Linked DNA regions of Oryzias latipes. The protein of the gene in region 3 binds, or shares a complex with, the protein of the main gene of each other region. Links are inferred from orthologs where the notes say so. Each region holds a gene or a part of one and is shown on either strand. Other genes may lie near its edges. The genes, in order: nup93, nup54 and nup58.

Region 1 (3,521 bases), on a different chromosome or scaffold from region 3:
CCTAAAGATCTACATTTTCAACGAGAAGATAGTGAACGGACACATTCACCCGAATCTGGGAGATTTATGTGCATCGGTGGCAGAAAGCCTTGATGATAAGGTAAGAACAGTAGCCTTTTGTTGCCAAATCTTTGAGTGGAGTAAATATGAAGGTGCATTTTAGTTAAAAATAATAATAATAACAAGTCGGGAAAATTTGTTCTACCTTTTTATAAATAATTAGAAACCATTATCAGTTCAGCACCTGGAGAAGTGATATAAAATGATGGGAAGCCATCTATAAAAAGAAAATAATAGTAAATTGTCTATATAGCCCACCTTGAAGAAATAAATTACATAATTTGTGTTCTCCAGAACGTTTCAGATATGTGGCTGATGGTGAAGCAGATGACGGACGTTCTGCTGGTTCCAGCTAAAGACACCCTGAAGAGTCGAACTTCTGTTGAAATGCAGATGGCTTTTGTTCGTCAAGCACTCAACGTCTTGGAGAACAGGTGTGTGCATTTCTTATATTGGACAACAATTACTTCCACGACGACACTGACGTCATTTGATTGTGTGATTAGAAAGAGAAATGCCAAACAGGAAGTCATGCGGACGTTTTAATGCAGAATAGATCAGAAAAAGCTCAACTTTTTAAAAAAAATCATCAAAAACAAGACTTTCCCAGTTTTTAGGGTTATGATGTTTTTTATTTGAGGATAAAGAGGTAACCCCAGAAAAATATTTTATTAGAAAAGATGAATTGATCTGAGGGTCAGCTATTTTAGTTTAGTAATTTATCTAAATGTTCTACTTTTATGGTAAAAAAGAACAAACCAGCCAGTGTCAGAAGTTCCACATGCGATCACGTCTTCATCCTCTTTGCAGCTACAAGAACTACACCATGGTGACCGTCTTCGGGAACCTCCATCAGGCCCAACTGGGAGGGGTGCCTGGAACGTACCAATTGGTCCGCAGTTTTCTGAACATCAAACTGCCCGGACCCTTACCTGGCATGCAGGTATCAGTCCTACAGTATATCAGTTAGAATGAAGAGTTAATGTGAGGAAACGTGTATGGGGTCAAGCCAGGGTCAGCTTGATGAAGTGAACGAAAAACCAGAAAAGAAAACAAAAAGTAGGATTGGAACTGTTTTACACTTCAATCGGAGATCCTTAAAAAGCCTTTAAAGGTGTTGAATTTAATTTAAATTAAATAAGGACTTATAAAGCAATAAATTGTTTAAATTTCTGTCAAATGGGATTTACATTTTTTCTTTGTCTTAAACGCAAGCATTTCCAGGACGCACTGTGTCGAAAGTTGGTAAACGGTTGTAAATCACTTAACCTCCTAGCTAAATAGCTCAAGCTCTTCAGTGCGGGAAAATTCAAACAAACAGAAATAATGGCTTGAAAATAGGGACTTTTCATGCACAGTTTGTCAAAAGACATGCGGCTGTTTGCTTCATCCTTTTGTTTCTTTGTTTCCTAATTTTGATTTTACGTTTCCTTAAATTGACCTTCCGTTAATCAGTAGTCACTTTGCGAAAAAACACATTTTAAATTTGACAAAAATACTGAAAATACAGGGGGGAGTTGGCATGTTTGAAATTTATTTATATAATACTGAAAACTTGAATAAAATGCTAAATACCTACAACTTTTAAAGGAAAAAATGTTTATTTATTGCAGCAGCTGTTTTGTATTTTCATTTTTTTCTCCCTTTTTTTTCATTTCTCAATTTACAGTTTCAAATCAGACTTTTTGGAGTTTCCACTCATTTTTGTGGAGCTTTCAGCCCATTGGCTATCGGGACACGATTGACCTCAGTTCACAGGTTTTAAGCAAAGAGGGAGAGAAATGCTAAACACTGGCAAAAAACACCCCAAAATTATAGACACTAAACAACAGCTGTTGCAAATACTTTCTTTTTCACCTGAAAACAGTTTTAGGTTTATACTTTTTTAATTCAAGTTTTTAGTCATTTAAAAAAACTTTTTTTCTTTCAAGTTGACAATGTGTACTTTCAAGTTTTATACTGCTTCAAATGTCTTTAAGCTGATGCTGATCTGACCCCATAATCGTGGCCCCGTAGCCTCACTGCCTGAAGTCAATAGCAGGTCATTCTTCATGCTAGGTTTCCTTTTAATGGTTCTATTCTGGTGCATCAGGACGGTGAAGTGGAGGGTCACCCTGTGTGGGCGGTGATCTACTACTGTCTGCGCTGCGGCGATCTGAACGCAGCCATGCAGGTGGTGAACAGAGTGCAACATCAGCTGGGAGACTTCAAGACCTGGTTTCAGGAGTACATGAACAGCCCGGACAGGCGGTACGTTTCTTTCGTCAATTGCCTGCTTGCATGAGATCGTTCCCTGCATCTTTTGTCTTCAGTCGTCTGACACTTGATCTGTCTTTAGCCTTTGCCCGACCTCGGAGAACAAGCTCCGTCTTCACTACCGCCGGGTGCTGAGGAACAGCGCCGACCCCTACAAGAGGGCCGTCTACTGCTTGATCGGGAAATGCGACATCAACGATAACCACGGAGAGGTGGCGGACAAGACAGAAGATTATCTGTGGCTGAAGGTACGGGTCACCTCATTTACTTGATTCCTTTCTGGGTCATTTGGTATTTCACTGCTGCAATCAGTTTAAACTCACCATCAATTTTGCACAGAATTTGTTTCAATAAAGCTGTTTTCCTAAAAGTAAGCGAAAGTGGATCCTAGATCAATAAAGTTTTAACATTTTAACACATTTTTTACCTGGAAAATACAAGAGATCTCTAAATAGGAAAATCAGTTTGTGAATGTGACGATCAAGTTTTGAATTTTCTGTGTAAAAATCTGCATTATTTTCGAGTAATGGATGATTTTAGATCAAGCCATTCTGCCTTGTAGGTTTCCAACTTTGTTTTATAACACAAGTGCTAGAAAACAAGTCAAATGTACTTAAAATCTGGATTAAAAGCCTGAAGTAACTGTAGATTTTTAACCAAAATTATTCTTTTGAACATGTTTGGCATTAATCTAAGGAGGATACATTTATCCTCTGCTTTTCACAATGAAACTGTCTGAGGAACGGACCCCAGCTGACGCAAACGAATGGTCGAGCTGCTTAATGAACGTGTTATAATTAATGATTAAATAATGAATGTGAATGTGTGCAGTTGAACCAGGTGTGCTTCGATGACGACGGCAGCAGCTCTCCTCAGGACCGACTCACCCTGCCACAGTTACAGAAGCAGCTCCTGGAAGATTATGGTACACAACAACTGCCGCACACATAATCTCTTAGGTTATTTCATTTACTAACGTGAAAGTTTTTTGTTTTCTTGGAAGAAGGAGATGATGCACAAATGCATGTATGAGTACATGCATGCACTGCAAAAGGAGGGAACCTAAAAAGAGGAAAAAAACACTCGAAAGAAATCACCAGAAAGTTGTAAAATGATCTAGAAACACAGGAGTTTCACACAATCATTGAAAAAGGGAAAATTAAGCGAAGAATGCTAACTGTTAGAATGACTAAAATTAAATATTA
Region 2 (4,302 bases), on a different chromosome or scaffold from region 3:
TGATTCATTCATTTGTGATCTCTAAAATCTAGAAGCAGTCTTGGCATTCATTTGAGTGTGCAAGCTATGCATGATGAGGATGAATGTCAAACAAAACTATGTATATTTAGATACTGTCCTATTTTTTTCTAAAGAAAAAATACGTTTGGCGTATTTCTGTAAATGTTAATGTAGAGATGCTAAAGTGAAGTTTGAGTCTAACGCTTAGTGTAGTTTATCTAAAGCTCCAAATAAGACATGATGTGTGTCCTTAACATGCTTCCACTAACTGATATAAATAATGCAGAACATGTTTTTTTTTTAATAAACATGAACCAGTGTTACTGCTTTACTTGATTTTTCTGATGAAACTTTTTAGCTTCCGTCCAGATGCCAAGAAAAAAAGAACATGTGACCGAAGTATTTTTTTTTTGTATAGCCTCCATGGTCAAAGTGTCTCTATGTGCCATATCTTGTATTCCTCAAATAAAAAGCTGCTCAGTTTATTCTGTGCAGGCTCCAATACTGGTTTTAGCACTTCATCTGTGATTTAGATTCTTTCATACTATGTAATAATCCATGTGTATATATCAGGCTGTTGAGATTTTTCTCCTTTTGAGTTTTTTTGTGTTATTATCTTTTCATGCAAACTAAAATTCATTATGTACAATAATTAAACTGAGGGCTAAACAAATCCACACGTTTTTATAATGTAGTTGATTTCGATTAACGAGAACAAGCGAATAAATTGGTAGCTTCCGTCTCATATGTTACAAGACAGTGTTATGCAATGTCTGTAGTTGTTTTTGAAGGGAATAAATTATTTTGTTACATTGATAAAACCAAAACAGATCATCCTCACATGCTTACGACTGGATTTCTTTGTAATGCCACATTTCAATCAACATTTTCATCTTGGAAATTATTGCTGCAAATGTAACCATTGAGTATCCTGCCTGTTCACCTGTTTTTGAATGTTACTTTTGATCTGCACACAGAAATAAAAAGTAGCTTAAGTGGATGTGTACTTGTTTTTTGTCTTTTTGTTTTGGTCATATTTAGTAAATATTTTTTCAACCCTGCCATTTTCATAATAATGAATTTATTTTTTATTTGTCATTTTAAATATAATTAGAAAAAGACATGTTTTATAGTGAATTAGGAGGGAAGAGGAAATGTTGTGTATTCTGTGTTTTTCCAAATAAACATCAGGAAAACTATGAGCCTGTATTAGACATAAGGTCTATATTCTAGTATATTGAAATCTATTCTTCCTTTGGAAGGGATCCAGTTACAAATTTTACAAATATTCCCTGTTAAAATAGTTTTTATTGTAATATATACTGTCAGATGTGCATTTCACAAGCTCCATTACATTTGTCTGCACTTGTTGAGAATTGTTTTCAATCAATTTGTTTTTTGTTATTGATTAATTTAGTTTTGTGGCCTAACCCTGAGCAGTACTGAGCTCCTTTGGAGCTTCTTGCCGTTGCGGGTCATGGTCAGCAGGTGGCGGTACGGAGCTTTTTTGACGCTCGCAAGCCGTTGCGGCTCCCGGTCACCAGGTGGTAGGACTGAGCTCCTTTGGATCCTACTCGCTCACTGTTATTTCTGAAGAAGAAGAAGAAGAACGCTCCCAAAGCAGTCAACATGGCGTTCAGTTTTGGCGGTGCCACGAGCAACACAGCACCAAGTATGTCTGTTGTTTGTGAAGTTTTATCATATTTATTTAGTTAGGAGTAAATATATATTTATCGAAGCTATGCTGTCATGTTTTTTGTGTGTTTATGTCAGTTATATATATGCTGTGCTAGCGGATCACAGCAACTGCCGTTAAGCTACAGTTACGGTCAATTGCGAAAACTGGCTTTTATTTTTTTACGCAATTAAAAGCTTTTGACAATACTTAAAATAGCACGGTTTTGTTGAGCTATGTGTACTTAGCTGCCGTTAACAGCGCTCTGTATCATGTGTCATTGCAAAGGTACGTCCGGGTTTTCATTTGGTTCCTTTGGTGCCAAGACAACAGCGTCCACATTTGGGTTTAACCCGACAGCCATCACGACCACCGCCTCGTCCGGGTTTGGCAGTAAGTCTGCGTCTTCAATTCATTTAGATGCTGTGGAAAATGTAATATTCGGGGGCTTTCTAACCCATTCCTGCTCCTTTTATTTGCTAACGAAGAAAAAAAGCACATGACCAGTTAGATTTATTTTTCATAACTGCTCTGTTGTTAACCTGCAGAGTCTTAAGTCTTAAATTTTTATAACAGATGAATATTTTATTATTAAACAGCATAATCATAATTAAAAGACTACTTGGTAACGCGTTTACAATAGATCAACAGGTGATCAGTGGGGCTTGAACTGAAATTCCTTTTAGCCTGGTGGTTGTGGGAAACTGAATTCTCTACTTGCTTGATCCATTGGAGAGAATGACTGTTTAATCCACTGAAAGATGGACTAAATTCAGGTCTAAAATATCTTAAAACAAACCAGAAGGAACTCTGATCATGATGATGTACTTATTTGTAGTAGATTGAAAACCAAAATAACAAAATCTCAGTGCAGTGGAATAAAATTACAGTATGTACAATTTAAAGAAAAGAAAAGAAAACTGAGGCCAAACAAAACCCTACATTTTTATAATCTTGCTGTTTCCAATTTATGAAACAAGTTATGAAATAGATCCAGATGAATATTTTATCAAATAATAAACATGCTTGTGGGTTAGTTGCCCTAAATAGGGCTAGTAAACTATATTTGATCATTCATTTGATTGTTTAATTTTACACTGTTTTTTATATCTTATTTATTTTGAGGGCAGGTTTCATATCTTTGATGAGCTGCTTGATTTGTTTCATAGCTCTTACAGCTCCTGGTTTTGGGGCAGCCACCACCACCACCGCACCAGCCACAGGATTCGGCTTTGGCTCCACCAACACTGGTAAGATGCGGCACAGAAAGAGCTCGTGTGTTGCTTCTCAAGCTTATTTTTATTACAAATTCCTCCTCTTCTTCTAAATGTATGCCAGGCTTGGCTTAATTTCTTGTAACCCCTCCGTGTCACTCTCTGTTTCTTGCTGCCTGCCTTCCCCGGCTGCAGGATTTGGGGGGCTCGGAGCCGGAGGCAGTACGGCTGGTGGGTTTAGTTTTGGGGGGTTTGGTTTAAATGCCAACCCAGCTGCAGTGAGCTTTAATGTGGGGTGCTTTGGTACAGCAACCACCACTGGCTCTGTTTTCAATTTTGGTAATAGCCTGGCTAGCACAGGTAGATGACTTTTGTGATTCAGTTCATTGTGTGTCTGTTAAAAGAAAAAAACACATCTTCATTCATTTGTCCACTTTCCCCCCACATTTCACTTGATGCTTGATTGTGTGCTGTTCACTTGGTTTACTGTAGTTCCACTTGCATAACATTTGTGCAATTATAAGCTGTTCATCCCATATGGTTTCCATTTGACTGTTAGTTTCCAGAGCAATGCTGTATTGATGTCTCGATTTGTTTTCTTTAAAAATTGTGATGTTGTTTTTGTGTTCATTTATGGTTCTATTCTTTCATTTTTGCTTCTTCTTAAGGGTCACCTCCTTGTATTACATTTATTTGTATTTTCTTCACCTCCCAGGCGCTTTTGGAGGCTTTGGGGCAACAACTACAACTGCTGCTGCACCGGGATCCTCTTTTAGTTTTGTCAACCCCTCCAACACAACAGGTCAGCACCAAGTTCCAAGAAAGAGATCAACTGTGCTCGTCACACTAAAGATGAGCAGGAATCAGTCACCCTTTGGAGAAAAAAAATGGCCATTTTAGTTACTAAATTCTGCATAGATGTTCCACCTTTGTTTAGTTTAAACTACTAGTTATGTCAAATGCTTTTTATTACAAAATATAAATGCTTTAGCGATGGAAATGTAGTAAATAAATCAATGTTTTATCATATTTGCTTGAATCAAAAATGAAATCAAATTGGAAGATTGTTTACAATTTTATGTAGGGGTAGGGGTTGTTTTTAAATCCGTTTTCATGTTGGACCTTCTTGCCACCAGGGGTCACTCTCCCTCTAAAGAAATCACCGTTCTTTTCTGCTGCACTTCTTCTGCACAACGTTTAATGGAAAAACCTAAACGCTGCATGCTTTCAACCGTCTTGTGTGGCCAAACTGTTGTGTTGTAGGAAGCTTGTTTGGGAACACACAGAACAAAGGGTTTGGGTTCCCAACCGGGCTTGGAGCTGGAACCGCAACCGGAACATCGGGGTTTGGAACTGGGTTAGGCACAGCTGGCCTGGGCGGATTTGGAGGTTTTAATATTCAGCCGACCCAGC
Region 3 (4,085 bases):
ATTTTAAAAACTGAGTTGAAGACTAAAGGCTGCTAGGGCTGGTTTTTCCTTTACTACTATCACCAAATCAGCAGATTATGACTTGCTGGCAGCATTTAAATGAATAAGTTTAGCTCTAAGGGTCATTGTTCTCAACGCCTATAATTAAATCATAAATGATTTGATGACTTTTATGAATCCACAATTTCACTTATGCTGCTTCTCCAACGTTAGTGATCGAGTAAAGCGATCAAAATCTTTCATTCAAAATCATTAGAGAACACATAGGAATATAAACTGAACGGGCAAAAAGAAAAATAAACACAAACATACTGATGCTCGATCGTCACGTCACCTCCTTGGGGCTATCATGACACCTGCTAGCCTTTATGCTAGCAGATTGCAAAGCGTGCATTTCGTTCACTTTAGTGAAACGGCGAAATGCAATAACAATACACAACTAAATGTTCACAGTTCAACAAGGCCAAGTTGCTGACTGCATCCCCCCGACATATGCAACTGTTAAGAAAATGTCAGCTACCTTCGGCGTTCGGATATGTTCCATTTCTCCGAGTCGCCAGTCGGGTGTCAGCCTTTTATTAAAAAGGTTCAAAAGCGGCCTAACAGAAACAACGGTGTCATTTATAGCTTAATACATTAAACTGCTGTACTATCTCACTGTTCTTGTTCTTTGCGGTATACGATAAGTGTTTTTTTTTTCATTCCTTCATCCCTCCATCCGCGTAAAGTCACGCATGAATACCAGAACAGGTTTCTTCACTTTTCAAAATAAAAGTCGATAGGTAACGCATCGTTGCCTTATTTTCAAACTCGATTTAAAAAGGAAATGCACCCTGAATAATTGAATATATGTTCCATATATTTTCAGTGGTATGCATCAAGCTGATCATTAACTTTAAATGTTAAGAATTCAAGTCAAACAATGGATGGTCATGCCAAAGTATCATATTTTAGAGAAGTTTAAAGGTGACATCACATGCACATGGAGCAAACAAAACTGACGCAAATGAGCAAATTTTTTAAAGCGTTTTTATAATATATATAAAACAAAAAGGTTGTTTTCAACTTAAAATACTTAAGCGTATTAAGAAATGTGAGGAAACAAAGAGCCATTTCACAGCTAGTCACACAAAATCTCGATTAAAAAAAACCCCAGCAGATTAAATTATATTTTACGTTGAAAGAATTACCGGAACTTACATTTCTTTTCTCGTTAAACGTAAGTCACAGACGTTGAAAAAAATTCAAGGGAAAGATAGGAAATGTAGTTCTGAGAATATTACCCATAATTCATCAGTGTAGGGCAAGAGAAACACCAGGCGGGTAATAGGAAAAGTGATGCCGTGCTATATAGCTTCTTGTCAAACTTGTTTTTAATAATTGCCTTTATTTTATACAGTTAGTCAAAAAACGTGAACGTCAAACTTTTCAGTGTTAGAAGTCAGACATTTAGTCGCTTTTCCCTTGTACGTTTCAAAAACAAGCAAGCTTGTGTGGGTTTGAGTTTCGGACGTCGTTACAAGCTAACAATCGTGTGATGCTGTTCGGCTAAGGTTTACCTAAGTGTATGAAGCCCACGTAGCCTTTTGGTGTTAAATGTGGACGACTTAGGTTAAAATGTCTGGTTTTAACTTCGGTTCGGGGGCTCTTGGCGCGACCAACAACACAGGTGGAGGATTTTCATTCGGAGCGGCAACCAGGTAACAACAATTAAATATACTCGACTCGAGGTAGCTAACGCTAGCATAGCCTTGTCCTGTCAGCTAACGAAAACGTGCTTCCCTCGTAGTTACTGCCTCTGTGCGGCGATTTTGCCGGGTACAGGAGGAACTATTATAGGGGAATTTGTAGCGTCTAAACTAAGATGTTAGCGAAAATGTAGGATGATTTTGATGTTACCTGTCCAACATTACTTACAATCTTTAGCTATGTTTGTAGCTAAGAGATCATCCGAAAAGTAATAACAACAAAGTGTCTATTCACACATCATTTTTAAAACAGCCAGTGCTGAACTTTATATTCTTGACCCCACGGACCCCCAGAAGAAGGTAATGGTTTAGGATAACGGTTACAGTTAGTAAACCGCCAAATGCTTCCTGATTGCGGCCGTTTTCTGTTGCTCACTCACTGCACTCCATGGGGATGGATCAAATGAGGAGAGCACATTTCACACAGAAGGGTGACAACTAATGGGACTTTAACTTTAAATAAGTGCGGCCAACAACAAAATTCAGCCTTGGACGCACATTCAAAACGTGCGGGAAATGCAGCTGTGTGCCTCTTGGCTGCACGTATTATGGTTTAGGCTTTTGTGTAGATTTTTGAAGTGGGTAGATGTTTGACACCCCCCCCCCCTTTTTTTTCTTTTCTTTCTTGAACTATTCATCTTCTTTCATTTCGATGTGTTTTAGGTAAATCTGTTTATGTACGTTATTATATTCGATATTTGTTTTTCTTGCTGGTTTCTTTCAGTGTGTTTGACATCAGACTCTGTGATTACTTCTGTCTGTAGTGCACCTGCCGCTAGTACTAGCGGCTTTTCTTTTGGGACTGTTCTTGGAACGGCAGCTGCAACCCCTGCTTCCACCACCACTACAGCATCCCTTGGTTTAGGAGGAAATCCTTTTGGCCAAAAACCAACCGGAGGATTTTCTTTTAATACACCTACCTCAAGTAAATATATATATATATATGTATATGTTTGAACAAAGTTGAGATTAACATAGAAATGTCTTTTGAAAGAATTGATTACCACTCATGTATTGACCAATCTGTTGTCTTTTTTTTTTTCCTGCAGGTGCTGCTGCACCCGCGACAGGCCTTACATTAGGTGTGCTAGTTTTTCCATCTCATTCTTTTTTAAATCACAGATTTAAATTTTTGATTGATGTTATGTGTGCCTTGTCGCAGGTGGAGCACCAGCTTCTACAGCTGCCACTACTGGTTTCAGTTTAGCCTTTAGCAAGCCTACTGCCTCAGCATCACCATTCTCACTCACCACCAGTACCGCCTCCTCAACTGTTGGAACAGGTTTATCGTTCGGCTCTATCCTAACCTCCACCGCTCCGCAGCAGCCGGCAGCCACAACCTTCTCCCTTGGTCTTGGTGGCTCAACAGCTTCCACAGCAGCCTCAACAGTGCCATCACTTGGAGGGAGTTTGTTCAGCAGTTCTGTGTCTACAGGTGAGACAAAAATCTTGACTAGACTTGTGGTTATGTCCACATAACCATTTAATTTTATCTGTTTACTTTTATCTAACTTGTATCTTTGTGTTCCAGGTTTGGGGCAAACCACTCTTGGAGCAGGTGGTGGGCTAACATTAGGTTCTTTGCTTGGTACCTCAACTGCAGCATCAACTGCCCCAGCTCCAAGTATTGGCCTTGGTGGAGTTGATTTCAGCACTTCCTCAGAGAATAAGAGTGACACGTTATCTGGATCCAGTGAGCAGTATGTTGTTTTGTACTTTAATGTACATTTTTATTTGTGAAACTGAAATGTCTATACTGACCCAATTCTACTTTATTGTAAAATATTTTTTTAAAATATAAGAAAAAGTTTATCTTGCTTTGAACTTCTAAAACACAAAGTATTCTCTTTTTTTTCCCCTCAGGGACAGTAAAGTTTTAAAAGATGAGAATCTGCCCCCAGTTATTTGTCAAGATGTTGAAAACTTTCAGTAAGTGTTTTCACACTTTGCGGCATCATGCATTAACTTCTGGATGTGACTCTGGGCCTTGGATCACCTCGATACTTTCTTTTACAGAAAATTTGTCAAAGAACAGAAACAGGTGCAGGAAGAGATCAGCAGGATGTCCTCAAAAGCAATATCTAAAGTCCAAGATGACATCAAGAACCTCAAACAGCTTCTCTCTGTGAATGCAAGCGGTCTGCAACGCCAAGCTCTGGCCATTGACAAGTTAAAACAGGAAACGGCTCAGGTAAAACCAGCACAAATGTCTGAACACATGTAGTTCAAGTTTCTGTAGAAACGCAAAAGTGTGGGTTCTTTGTAAAATAAGTCCACGTCTAATGATTCAAGGTGGAAAACATAAAAGAAAAATTACATTTGGTAGAATATTTCTTT

What was found.
Region 1: nup58 (region 3) and nup93 share a complex: the UniProt entries of both Homo sapiens proteins name them as parts of the p62 complex. The link is inferred for Oryzias latipes from reciprocal best matches to the Homo sapiens genes NUP58 and NUP93.
Region 2: the proteins of nup58 (region 3) and nup54 are in contact, whole or in part, in a crystal structure (PDB 4JO7), measured with the Homo sapiens proteins. The link is inferred for Oryzias latipes from reciprocal best matches to the Homo sapiens genes NUP58 and NUP54. Residues at the interface, in NP_054808.1 of Homo sapiens: Pro342, Tyr345, Phe346, Leu349, Val350, Phe353, Gln356, Leu357, Tyr360, Gln363, Ile364, Leu367, Leu371, Gln374, Ser378, Ile392, Tyr393, Phe396, Leu399, Ala400, Leu403, Ile406, His407, Val410, Lys414, Tyr417, Tyr420, Arg421; in NP_059122.2 of Homo sapiens: Tyr453, Leu459, Glu462, His466, Leu467, Gln469, Gln470, Gln471, Gly473, Leu474, His476, Leu477, Ile478, Ile480, Ile481, Asp484, Leu485, Ile488, Lys489, Leu490, Val491.

Annotation. Positions count from the first base shown.
Region 1 is NC_019864.2:28,042,514-28,046,034, forward strand, and holds part of nup93 (nuclear pore complex protein Nup93), read left to right. Parts: intron 1-7; coding exon 8-100; intron 101-354; coding exon 355-494; intron 495-870; coding exon 871-1,003; intron 1,004-2,152; coding exon 2,153-2,310; intron 2,311-2,398; coding exon 2,399-2,564; intron 2,565-3,147; coding exon 3,148-3,241; intron 3,242-3,521. UniProt on the Homo sapiens protein: Plays a role in the nuclear pore complex (NPC) assembly and/or maintenance. May anchor nucleoporins, but not NUP153 and TPR, to the NPC. During renal development, regulates podocyte migration and proliferation through SMAD4 signaling.
Region 2 is NC_019870.2:10,484,148-10,488,449, reverse strand, and holds the start of nup54 (nucleoporin p54), read left to right. Parts: upstream 1-1,485; 5' UTR 1,486-1,629; coding exon 1,630-1,672; intron 1,673-1,963; coding exon 1,964-2,068; intron 2,069-2,844; coding exon 2,845-2,925; intron 2,926-3,084; coding exon 3,085-3,120; intron 3,121-3,604; coding exon 3,605-3,691; intron 3,692-4,152; coding exon 4,153-4,302. UniProt on the Homo sapiens protein: Component of the nuclear pore complex, a complex required for the trafficking across the nuclear membrane.
Region 3 is NC_019878.2:13,571,132-13,575,216, reverse strand, and holds the start of nup58 (nucleoporin p58/p45), read left to right. Parts: upstream 1-1,270; 5' UTR 1,271-1,617; coding exon 1,618-1,700; intron 1,701-2,512; coding exon 2,513-2,673; intron 2,674-2,797; coding exon 2,798-2,830; intron 2,831-2,910; coding exon 2,911-3,183; intron 3,184-3,279; coding exon 3,280-3,448; intron 3,449-3,611; coding exon 3,612-3,677; intron 3,678-3,764; coding exon 3,765-3,939; intron 3,940-4,085. Other genes in the region: mtmr6 (myotubularin-related protein 6), read right to left, coding at 521-544. UniProt on the Homo sapiens protein: Component of the nuclear pore complex, a complex required for the trafficking across the nuclear membrane.